Linked DNA regions of Arabidopsis thaliana. The protein of the gene in region 1 interacts with the protein of each later gene in a biochemical or structural test. Each region holds a gene or a part of one and is shown in the gene's direction. Other genes may lie near its edges. The genes, in order: RTV1 and XLG2.

The links.
Region 2: the proteins of RTV1 (region 1) and XLG2 form a complex in vitro, tested with the Arabidopsis thaliana proteins (one study listed by BioGRID).

The regions. Positions count from the first base shown.
Region 1 is NC_003070.9:18,313,517-18,318,721, reverse strand, and holds RTV1 (uncharacterized protein), read left to right. Parts: upstream 1-1,860; 5' UTR 1,861-2,413; exon of another isoform or gene 2,414-2,688; intron 2,689-3,071; exon of another isoform or gene 3,072-3,099; 5' UTR 3,100-3,261; coding exon 3,262-3,493; intron 3,494-3,578; coding exon 3,579-3,778; intron 3,779-3,877; coding exon 3,878-4,126; 3' UTR 4,127-4,605; downstream 4,606-5,205. Other genes in the region: AT1G49490 (Leucine-rich repeat (LRR) family protein), read left to right, coding at 1-1,159; AT1G49475 (AP2/B3-like transcriptional factor family protein), read right to left, coding at 4,974-4,978, 5,072-5,205.
Region 2 is NC_003075.7:16,439,134-16,445,684, forward strand, and holds XLG2 (extra-large GTP-binding protein 2), read left to right. Parts: upstream 1-1,952; 5' UTR 1,953-2,445; coding exon 2,446-3,486; intron 3,487-3,579; coding exon 3,580-3,717; intron 3,718-3,809; coding exon 3,810-3,914; intron 3,915-3,996; coding exon 3,997-4,155; intron 4,156-4,235; coding exon 4,236-4,383; intron 4,384-4,496; coding exon 4,497-4,732; intron 4,733-4,840; coding exon 4,841-5,004; intron 5,005-5,112; coding exon 5,113-5,707; 3' UTR 5,708-5,873; downstream 5,874-6,551. Other genes in the region: AT4G34380 (Transducin/WD40 repeat-like superfamily protein), read left to right, coding at 1-1,189; AT4G34400 (AP2/B3-like transcriptional factor family protein), read left to right, coding at 6,190-6,276. UniProt on the Arabidopsis thaliana protein: Guanine nucleotide-binding proteins (G proteins) are involved as modulators or transducers in various transmembrane signaling systems. Binds GTP with specificity. Plays a role in the root morphogenesis by regulation of the cell proliferation.

The DNA.
Region 1 (5,205 bases):
ACCACAACCGTCTAAACCTGAAGATTCTCCTAAACCAGAACAACCAAAACCAGAGGAGTCACCTAAGCCTGAACAACCACAGATACCTGAGCCTACTAAACCGGTTTCACCACCAAATGAAGCACAAGGACCAACACCGGATGATCCATATGATGCATCTCCGGTTAAAAATCGTCGTTCTCCGCCACCACCCAAGGTAGAGGATACACGTGTACCACCACCACAACCACCAATGCCTTCCCCATCACCACCATCACCGATTTACTCACCACCACCACCGGTTCACTCACCGCCGCCTCCGGTTTATTCATCACCACCACCACCACATGTCTACTCTCCACCTCCACCAGTTGCTTCTCCTCCACCGCCATCACCACCACCACCAGTTCACTCTCCTCCACCACCACCGGTTTTCTCTCCACCACCACCAGTTTTCTCTCCACCACCACCATCACCAGTATACTCACCACCGCCTCCAAGCCACTCACCACCACCACCAGTATATTCTCCGCCTCCACCAACTTTCTCACCACCACCAACACATAATACAAACCAACCACCAATGGGAGCTCCAACACCGACTCAAGCACCAACACCATCCTCTGAAACAACCCAAGTGCCAACTCCATCATCAGAATCAGATCAATCACAAATTTTGTCACCAGTTCAAGCTCCAACACCGGTTCAATCCTCAACCCCATCCTCTGAACCAACCCAAGTGCCAACTCCATCATCATCAGAATCATATCAAGCACCAAATTTGTCACCAGTTCAAGCTCCAACACCGGTTCAAGCCCCAACCACATCCTCTGAAACATCTCAAGTACCAACTCCATCATCAGAATCAAACCAGTCACCAAGTCAAGCTCCAACACCAATTCTTGAACCGGTTCATGCCCCAACACCAAACTCTAAACCGGTCCAATCACCAACACCATCAAGCGAACCGGTCTCATCACCAGAACAATCAGAAGAAGTTGAAGCACCAGAACCAACACCCGTCAATCCATCATCAGTACCATCATCTTCTCCTTCCACTGACACATCTATTCCACCACCGGAAAACAACGACGATGATGATGATGGGGATTTCGTCCTACCACCACACATTGGATTCCAATATGCATCGCCACCACCACCAATGTTCCAAGGATATTAAAACCAATGTAGTAGTGACAGTGTTACCCATTTTTAACATTTCTGTCCATTTTTTCCATGTGAATTATTTGTATCAAACGAAAAAGATATTACAAAGATGAAAAATTAAAATGCCAATAATTATATAGTAGATTATCTTTCAGCAGATTTTTTTTTGTTGAAATTGAAGTATTGAACTATAACACGATGCGATTTGTTTTTTCGGGGTAAAGAAGTTATCATTTGTTTTGGCCATTTTATGACTTCTATTCTATTATTTGAGAAGCAAAACATAAATATCTATATTTGTAAAATTTAATATCTTACTAGCTACATATAGTTTAATATTATACACATTTAATCTTTCATAACTATGTCATGAATTATTTGACATTTTTCATAAGTCATGATAAATAAAATTATGTATGAAATAATTGAATTAGGGTTTCATGTTCCACCAGATGATTGAACTTGTTCTTTATTCGGATAGAATTATGAAATTTTTATCTTCTATTAAAAAATATATTAACAAAATTAGATTTAACATATATTGATATCTCATTAATGTACTTAACATGTGTTAACAATTTTAAATTTTTTTACTTTATATAATAAAATTAGAATTTTATTAAAATTATATAATATCTAAAATTTGTACTAAATAATAATTCTTGCTGAATTATAATCTAGTTTTTTTTTTTGATAGCATAAAGATTATAATCCGTTAACTTTAAAAAAAAAGCAAGAAAGGGAAATAAATAAATTATTATATCCTTTAAAGAGGACAAAAATATTAATTATATTGCGAAAAAAGGAGATAAAAATTAGGTGGAAAAGGGGAAGATGGTGGGGACGATAAGTTTTTAATTAGCTAACCAAAAAACAAAAACACGAAACGAGTCAACTCACCGGTTCCATTACGAGTCAAGGAGAAACACACATTGACACGCTCAAGCTTTTTTTTTTCAAGGTCAAGTTGGTTTTTTTTTTTCTTTCTTAAAAATATTTATGTTGGGTCAGGCTTAAACCAGAGAGAGAGTGTGTGTGGTCGAGCCATTTGACCAAAAGCAAAAACTTAAAACTGGTTTCAGATCTGAAGTAAAAGGGTTTTGCTTCGGATTCTCCGGCGTCGTTTAAATGATCTCTGACCCATCTTCCTTGGCTTAATAATTCTGGTCCCTCCTTTTATCTCTTTTTACTGTTGATTTATCTGAATATGCCACGCTCTTTCTTCCACATGTTTATTCTCTCTTCCTTTCTTCAACACAAGCGTCTGGTAATTGATCTCTTCTCTCTCAAATTGTGTTTCGTTCTTTTTGGTTCTGTATTTGGTTTCTGACAAAATTGAGGAAACTGGTGTTGGGTTTGAGTCTAGAACTGCCAAAGATGTGATTTTGTTTTTTGGGTACTGAAAATTGAGTGAGATGAAGTGATAAAGTGTCTTTTTTTTTTGGTAAATTATTCGAATGGAACTTGGGATCGGAACTCTGTTTCTTTGTTAGGGTTGGTTGAAATCTGAATCTAGTCTTGATTTTTGTGGTGAAATGAGAGGTGAGTCAGTGAAATTTTGAAATGTCTTTGATTCAATTTGACATCAGAATACTGCTCAGGTTGTGTCTTTTGTCAGATTTATTGAGAATTATCAGCTTCCGACTGTAGATTTGACTTTGGTCTCAGTTTAAAGACTATGAGTGGACTTTATAGATCTAGAAGCATGCGTTGTTTTGATTATAAGAAATAAAAAGAGAGTTTTTGCTTTAAGCTGTTTGACTAATAACTTGACTTGGGATTATGATTTAACCAGCAAAACTCTCTTTTCTCCAGCCACTGTGTTTTATGAATGTTTGTTGATTCCAAATAATAGTATGTGTTGATCAAAGTGAAGTCATTTGGTCATTACTTGGTTCTGAGCTTTCAGTTGTTTTTGCACTTACAATACCTGATGGTCATGTTTGCATGTAGGACTAAGGAAAGCCAACAACAAAATCTGGTTTCAAGACGGTTGGCAGGAGTTTGTCAACCGTTTCTCCATTCGGATTGGTTTCAGATACAAAGTTACAGTCTACATTTTCAATTTATCCTCCACACTCTGAGATCAACCACCATTCTAGTAGTGAAGCTCTTATGCAAATGGATTCCGCACAGAATCAGTTCAACAAACGTGCTCGATTGTTTGAAGATCCTGAACTCAAAGATGCTAAGGTCATTTATCCATCGAACCCTGAATCTACTGAACCAGTGAATAAAGGTTATGGCGGTTCTACAGCCATCCAAAGCTTTTTCAAAGAATCTAAAGCTGAAGAAACGCCCAAGGTACTTAAGAAGAGAGGAAGGAAGAAGAAGAATCCTAATCCCGGTAAGTATCAGAGACAGACTCTTAATTACGTATTAACTTTTGTTTCAGAGGAGAGTCAAAAGATTTATTGTTTTGGTATGTGCAGAGGAAGTAAACTCTTCAACTCCCGGTGGAGATGACTCAGAGAACCGCTCAAAGTTCTACGAGAGTGCTTCTGCTAGAAAGAGAACTGTAACTGCAGAGGAAAGAGAGAGAGCCGTCAATGCAGCCAAAACATTCGAACCAACAAATCCTTACTTTAGAGTTGTTCTGCGACCATCATATCTATACAGAGGTTGCATCATGGTAAACAATTTTTAAAGATTGTAATTAAGGTTCAAGATTAGGGTTAACATGACCTGTTCTTGCTGACTTCTTCGTTTCTGTTTTTTGTTTGTTCAACAGTACTTGCCATCTGGGTTTGCTGAGAAATACCTAAGTGGGATATCTGGTTTCATCAAGCTCCAGCTCGGTGAGAAACAATGGCCAGTGAGGTGCCTCTACAAAGCAGGGAGAGCTAAGTTTAGCCAAGGATGGTATGAGTTCACACTCGAGAACAATATAGGCGAAGGAGATGTATGTGTGTTTGAGCTACTCAGAACTCGGGATTTCGTTCTCGAAGTCACCGCCTTTCGTGTCAATGAGTATGTGTGACCAAAAAAGATTTCCCTTTCATCAGCGATCTTGCAGGTAGCTTTCCAAAGTTAAAATTTTATGTAGGGGTCTCTTAACCATTCTCTCTCTTGCATTGGTTGTCTCTGTTCTAGTAGTGTTTTGAGTGAAATTTCAGGTTCCTATGTTTGGATGTGGATAAGTATTTGACGATTATAATAACCTCTGAGTGGGAAACTCTTTGTTTGAGTGGTAGCTAGGTTCAAAAGTAGAGTTGTATATACTTTTATCTTCATCAGGATAATTATGTTTATTTGAATTGTTGATTATTATGGGTTTGTGTGGGTGAATCCATAAATGTAGTTGGCAAAGCTTGTTCTAGTTGGTTTAACTGTGAGGTGTAAGATGGTGAAAATATCACGACAAAGGGGGAAAAAAATATTATTGTGTAAAACTTGCAGAATCATTTCACCGTTCTAAGGTTTACCAATCAAAGCTTGGATTTCTCTTTTTTGAATGAGGAATTGCTTTTGCTATATTTCAGACAGGGCAAGCTTTTTTTTCGACATACACATTACATCACACAAACTGATAACAGGATCTCACAAGTTAGCCAAGTTCTTACTACAAAGTTCTTGCCAGGCTTGACAAGAATTTCCACTACACATATTACACAACGGGTCTTAAAAATGCCAAGTTCTTACTAAAAATTAAAGCTTGCAAATCTGTTTAACGAGCTAGAAACCAGAAACAAAAAACCGAAGAACTATTATGTGGTTTAACGAGCTAGGAACCGCAGAGATCTTTGTCGGAGAAACATACTTGCATAAGTTCTTCTTCAAGTCCTCTTCCTCAAGACTCCTCATAGCAATCTCTTCAACATCATCTACTAGTCTACAACAAAGAAGAAGAAGAACAAGAAATCACATAAAAGATACAAACAAAACCCACAAATCCTTCTTAAGAAATGTCTTATAAACATTTTACCAAGTATTATGACATTCTCAGACTTAATGTTGACTCTTGGTTTCTTCTTCTTCTTCTTCAACAATTCATCCATATCAACAACTTCACCATCATCATCACTACTTTCAAAACCAGTAAACCCTTGTTCATCATCA
Region 2 (6,551 bases), on another chromosome or scaffold:
TCCTTGGGGTGCAGATTTCAACGAAGACAATGTCCTCGAGACCAACGGTCTCATTGGATCTATTGTTAGAAAAGAAGGGCATATATACTCGCTAGCCGCTTCTGGTGACCTTCTCTACACGGGCTCGGATTCGAAGAACATTAGGGTTTGGAAGAATTTGAAGGAACACGCTGGGTTTAAATCCAGTAGTGGGCTAATCAAGGCCATTGTGATATTCGGAGACCGAATCTTTACCGGCCATCAAGACGGGAAGATCCGGATTTGGAAGGTTTCGAAGAGAAAACCAGGAAAACATAAGCGGGTTGGAACATTGCCAACATTTAAATCAATGGTCAAGAGCTCCGTCAACCCTAAGCATTTCATGGAGGTACGCCGCAACAGAAACTCTGTGAAGACGAAGCATAACGACGCAGTGTCTAGTCTTAGCTTGGACGTGGAGCTTGGATTGTTGTACTCGAGTTCTTGGGACACGACAATCAAAGTGTGGAGAATCGCGGATTCAAAATGTTTGGAATCGATACATGCACACGATGACGCGATAAACTCTGTAATGTCCGGTTTTGATGACTTGGTGTTCACGGGATCCGCAGATGGTACTGTTAAAGTGTGGAAACGTGAGTTGCAAGGCAAAGGAACAAAACATACGTTAGCTCAAGTTTTGCTCAAGCAAGAAAATGCGGTCACGGCGTTGGCCGTAAAATCACAATCTTCCATCGTATATTGCGGTTCTTCGGACGGGCTAGTGAACTATTGGGAGCGTTCAAAGCGGTCATTCACAGGCGGAATACTCAAAGGCCACAAATCCGCAGTGCTTTGTCTAGGTATAGCGGGGAACTTGCTGTTGAGTGGTTCCGCCGACAAGAACATATGCGTATGGAGGCGGGACCCGTCTGACAAGTCCCATCAGTGTCTCTCTGTTTTGACGGGACACATGGGGCCGGTCAAGTGCCTAGCCGTGGAGGAGGAACGGGCTTGTCATCAGGGAGCAAAAGCCTCAGTGGCCGAGGGAGACCGGAAGTGGATTATATACAGCGGAAGTTTGGACAAGTCGGTGAAAGTGTGGCGCGTGTCGGAGAGAATGGCCACGTGGAAGGAGATGGACGAGCCAGCAGCATCTTCAGAGCGGAAGAGCTCTTCGTCTCCGCATGAAGGAAGTGGCGCGTGGAGTTCACGCAATGTGGAAAAATAAGAGTGGAGGAGCATAGTGTGATTATTTACGAGAGTGTCACGTCGTCACGAGAGCCATATTCACGCCGGGAAAGAGACAGAGGATTGATTTCATTTTTATGACTAAGTCAACGGAGAGGTTTGTGCCACGCTAGCTGGTGTGAGAATCAAAGTCGGGTTAATGGTTTTCACGTAATGAGTTTTTTGGTTATTTTTTTCTTTAAAAAAAATGTTTGAAACGAAATTGAATTATTTATTTATTTTCCATAAATTTGTAAGATAACAAGAACAAAGACCGAATCAAACATATATATTTGTTTTCTTTAGTGGTCTATGTCGTGGTTGCAACTTTATAACTTGGAATTTTGGATGAGTCGTTTTCCTCTTCATTAGAATTAGTCTTTCTATATTATTATAATATAGGATGTTGATATTTTTTAATTGATTTTCCAACCTGGAAATATCCACCCAAAGTTGTTAGAAATTACTAATCTTTGTGAATTTACTGTTACCATTTAAACCTAATCTATCTTTATGAGCAAAAAAAAAAAAGTCTTATTCAATCACTTAACCGAAAACATTTCCACAACCGGGATCATCATATATGTCTCTGCGCCTCTCTTTGATAAATACTTAAATAGGGTCAACACCTCCGGTTTTCTATTAACCGTGTAATTCGGGTTATGCGAACATTATTGCAGGACCGAAGATATATTTACGAAATTGCCCTCTCTCTTTGACTCCATCAACGCCTTTCGCAACGCATCGTTTTCAACTCCCCTAACCCGCGTTGACGGCAAGAATTTTCCCGGAAAATAACTCATTTTTCCTTTTGATTGCAGAGAAAATAAAAAACAAAGAGAAAGTCTTCCCCTTTTTTTGTCAAGTCCTCGTCTTTTACTAGTGTATACGATCCAACCCATCTTTCTGTCTTTCTTCTTTTTGTTTACTTCTTCTGCAAATTCCCTTTTCCCGGAAAATTTATTTGCTGATTTTTCTTCCTTCCATCGCCACTTTCCTGGAAAAAAAAACTAAATTTCGTCTCTTTCTTTAAGCTAAAGGAGCTTTCTGTGATCAATTTTTTCTATATTTCTGTAGTTGCGTTCTTATTTCACGCGCTTTGTGATTTGATTATTTAAGCCACTAATGGCTTAGGATCTGTATATTATCACTTCATGAATTCTCGTTTTCTCGGATAAGTTGTTAAGTTTCTAAATTAGGGAATTTTAGGAATTAGGGCTTTTTTGGGTTTGTATGTGTGCTTGATTGGGTAAGAAGATGGCTGCAGTTATAAGAAAGTTATTACCTTTCCCATCACCGAATCCTAAAAGGGATAATCGAGAAAGTGACGATGATGATGAAACAAGTAGTGGCTATCGAATCGAATATTCATTCGCCAGTGAGTATAAAGGTCCTCTTATTGCTAATGTGCCACGAGCTCTTCCCGTTGAAGTTGATCAGATTCCTACGGCTCTTCCCGTTTCCTTTTCTTCCTTGCGGAGTGGTATCTCTTACCCAGTGGCACCTCTCGTTATGACTAAGGATACCAAGAGACCACCTGATTCTGGAATAGAGAAGAAGAACGGTTTCGTTGACTCTGCAGCTGGTTCTAGTGTGGTTTTGATAGGGCGTGATGTTGTTTCTGGCTCATCATCATCATCATCATCAAAGAGGTTGGATGTACCAGAAGAAGTGAAAAGTCCTGCTGATTTTCGGTTATCACCATCATCACCATTGTCTGCATCAGCGAGAGAGGAGGATCACTTAGATGATGACAGAGTTTCGGATGTGGGACCTAGAGCAGTGAGATTCGTTGAACCTTTTCAGAGTAGTGAATGTGATGAGAGCTCCTATGTTTCTGATGGAGAAAGTATAGCTGCAACGCATAGAGCTGAAAGGAAAGGTAAAAGAGGATCGTGTTACCGGTGCCAGTTGGGGAACCGGTTTACTGAGAAGGAAGTCTGTATTGTCTGCGATGCCAAATACTGTTTCAACTGTGTGCGCAGAGCCATGGGTGCGATGCCCGAAGGAAGAAAGTGTCAAGCTTGCATTGGTTATAGGATTGATGAGTCCAAGAGAGCAAGTCTCGGAAAGTGTTCAAGAATGCTCAAGCGCCATCTCACGGATTCTGAACTTCGACAAGTCATGAATGCCGAGATCACCTGCAAGGCGAATCAATTGCCTTCACGACTTATCATTGTCAATGACAAGCCTTTAAGTGAAGATGAGCTTTACACGTTGCAGACATGTCCAAATCCACCCAAGAAGCTAAAACCCGGACACTATTGGTATGATAAGGTTGCTGGCTACTGGGGAAAGGTACAGTTTCTTATATATGTCTGCGTATCTATTATCGGGATTGTATTTTGAGTGCTCAGCTAAATCAGAGCCTCTATGTGTTTATTTAATCAGATAGGAGAGAAACCTAGTCAGATTATAAGTCCTAACAACAGCATAGGAGGATACATCAGTGAGAAAGTAAGCAATGGAGACACTGAAATTTATATTAATGGCCGGGAAATAACCAAGCCAGAGCTCACGATGCTCAAGGTTCTTTTGCTTTTCACCTTTGTTTTGGATAACAAATATGCTTAGTGTATGTGTCATTGTTCTGAACTGAGCGCTTCTTTGCTTTGATGTAGTGGGCGGGGGTGCAATGTGAAGGAAAACCTCATTTTTGGGTCGATTCAGATGGTTCTTACCGAGAAGAAGGTCAAAAGCATCCCATCGGGAACATCTGGAGTAAGGTATGGTTTCCTGATCACCAGCTTTTCTCGTTCACAACATTAAATATAAAACTAAAGACAACGAAGGATATTATTTTTACAGAAGAGAGCAAAAATTGCTTGCGCTGTGTTCTCTCTGCCAGTTCCTCCGGCTTCGTCTGCAGTAGAACCATATGATGTGCCCTTATATGAGCAGAAGATGCTTAACAAGCTTCTTTTGATTGGTAGCGAAAAAGGTGGCGCCACTACAATTTACAAACAAGTGAGCTATTCATCTTAATGCCTCCCACTTGAATGTTTCACATCTAGTAAAGAATCGGGAATTGACTTCTTCTGTTTCAGGCAAGGTCTCTCTACAACGTCTCATTCTCTTTAGAAGACCGTGAAAGAATCAAATTCATAATCCAAACAAATCTCTATACCTATCTGGCAATGGTTCTTGAGGCACATGAAAGATTTGAAAAAGAGATGAGCAATGACCAGTCTTCAGGTAATTATTATTGACTGTACAAACTATTAGAATAAGAATGCATTCATATTCTAATACAAACATCAGTTAACAATTGATTATTGAGGAAGACTGATCGAGTTCTTGGGATTTAGGCAATGTGGGAGATGAAACCAGTGCAAAACCAGGTAACTCGATCAACCCGAGACTAAAACATTTTTCAGATTGGGTTTTGAAAGAAAAGGAAGACGGAAACCTGAAGATATTTCCACCATCAAGCCGTGAGAATGCTCAAACCGTTGCAGATCTCTGGAGAGTACCAGCTATTCAAGCCACCTACAAAAGACTTCGCGATACACTTCCCAGGAACGCCGTTTATTTTCTTGAAAGAGTAAGTTTACATCAAGTTGCCTGCTTGCATATATAAACGCTCTTTCAGGACCTTAACACTTTTGTTTAAGGGGAAAAAGATGACTGACCCAAATTTGTTTCTTCTCAGATTCTTGAGATCTCGAGATCAGAATACGATCCTTCTGATATGGACATATTGCAAGCGGAAGGACTCTCCTCTATGGAAGGACTTTCTTGTGTGGACTTCTCATTCCCATCAACTTCTCAAGAAGAGTCTCTTGAGAGCGATTATCAACATGATACAGACATGAAGTTAGTTCTGTTCTTTTTCCTTGTGTTGCATTCCGGCTATATGAAAAACCGTTGAACTTACCCTCTCTCTCTCTCTCTCTCTCTCTCTCTCTCTCTCTCTCTCTTTAGGTACCAACTCATCCGGCTAAATCCGAGAAGCCTTGGTGAAAACTGGAAATTGCTGGAAATGTTTGAAGACGCTGACTTGGTGATATTTTGTGTCTCACTAACAGACTATGCAGAAAACATAGAAGACGGTGAGGGGAATATTGTGAACAAGATGCTTGCAACCAAACAGCTTTTCGAGAACATGGTGACTCACCCGAGCCTAGCTAACAAAAGGTTTCTTTTGGTTCTAACCAAATTTGATCTCCTAGAAGAAAAGATCGAAGAGGTTCCTCTAAGAACCTGTGAGTGGTTTGAAGACTTCAACCCATTGATCAGCCAGAACCAGACGAGCAGACACAACCCTCCAATGGCTCAGCGTGCTTTCCATTACATTGGATATAAGTTCAAGAGACTCTATGACTCAATCTTGGAACCCGTAAATATGCGTGGAAGGAGCTTTAAGCCAAAATTGTTTGTTTGTCAAGTGAGCTTGGAGAGTGATACTGTGGACAATGCACTGAGGTATGCGAGAGAGATTCTCAAGTGGCATGTTGAAGAAACTTCCATGTTCCAAGAGATGTCTACTACTAGCATAGAGGCCAGCTCGTCCTCTTGATATTTTTTCCTAAAATTCTTTCTTTCTTTGTGGAAATTACATAAGTTTGTTTCTCTCTCTGTGTGTATGTTTGTTGTATATGTAGTAGTGTGAAGATACATTCATGTGATTGATTTTTCAGGGGAAAAAAAATAGAGAAATAATAAAGTGAATTTTCCCGGTTTAACAGACATTTACTTATACGGTTATTGAGGTTGAACTGGACCGGAGTAGCAATAAATTATCGGTTCAGTTTGGGAGATCAAACCGTTTAAAAGAAAATAATTTGAAATGGCCACGCAGAATACGAGGGTCTGAGGATTGTACCTCCTTTCTCTGCAAAAACTTAAACGTTGATTTGACTCAAGCGTCAAGGTAAGGTACTCTCTCTTCATACAACATTTTAGCTTTACTTTTTCTCTTTACTCTTCTCTCTCTCTTTCTCTTTCTCTTTCTCTTTCACTCGTTCTCTCTCACTCACTCTCTTCACACACAGATCCAAGATGGCCTCTTCAATGGCTAGCAATGATTTCCAGCTCCCTCCACGTTTCTTCACTGTTTTCGTCTCCCATTTCAGCTCAGAGTTCATGGTAAGATTTTCTCTCGAGGTTTCTTCTTTCAGGTTTATCTGTTCATGAGCAAACGATTCTTGAACTGGGTAGATTCTCTTAGCCTAGTGGTTTCTTTGAACTATGTCTGATGGTTTTTATGAAACAAACACTGTGTTTATCTGCATTTAGCTTCCTCTATAGATTTTGCTTTTTCTGTTTCTAGGGTTTTGCTCTTATTCCTACCCTTTGGTTTCCTTTTTCTGACTAAAGATTTAAACTTTCTGTATGAATCAGCTTAATTTATGGACTTAACA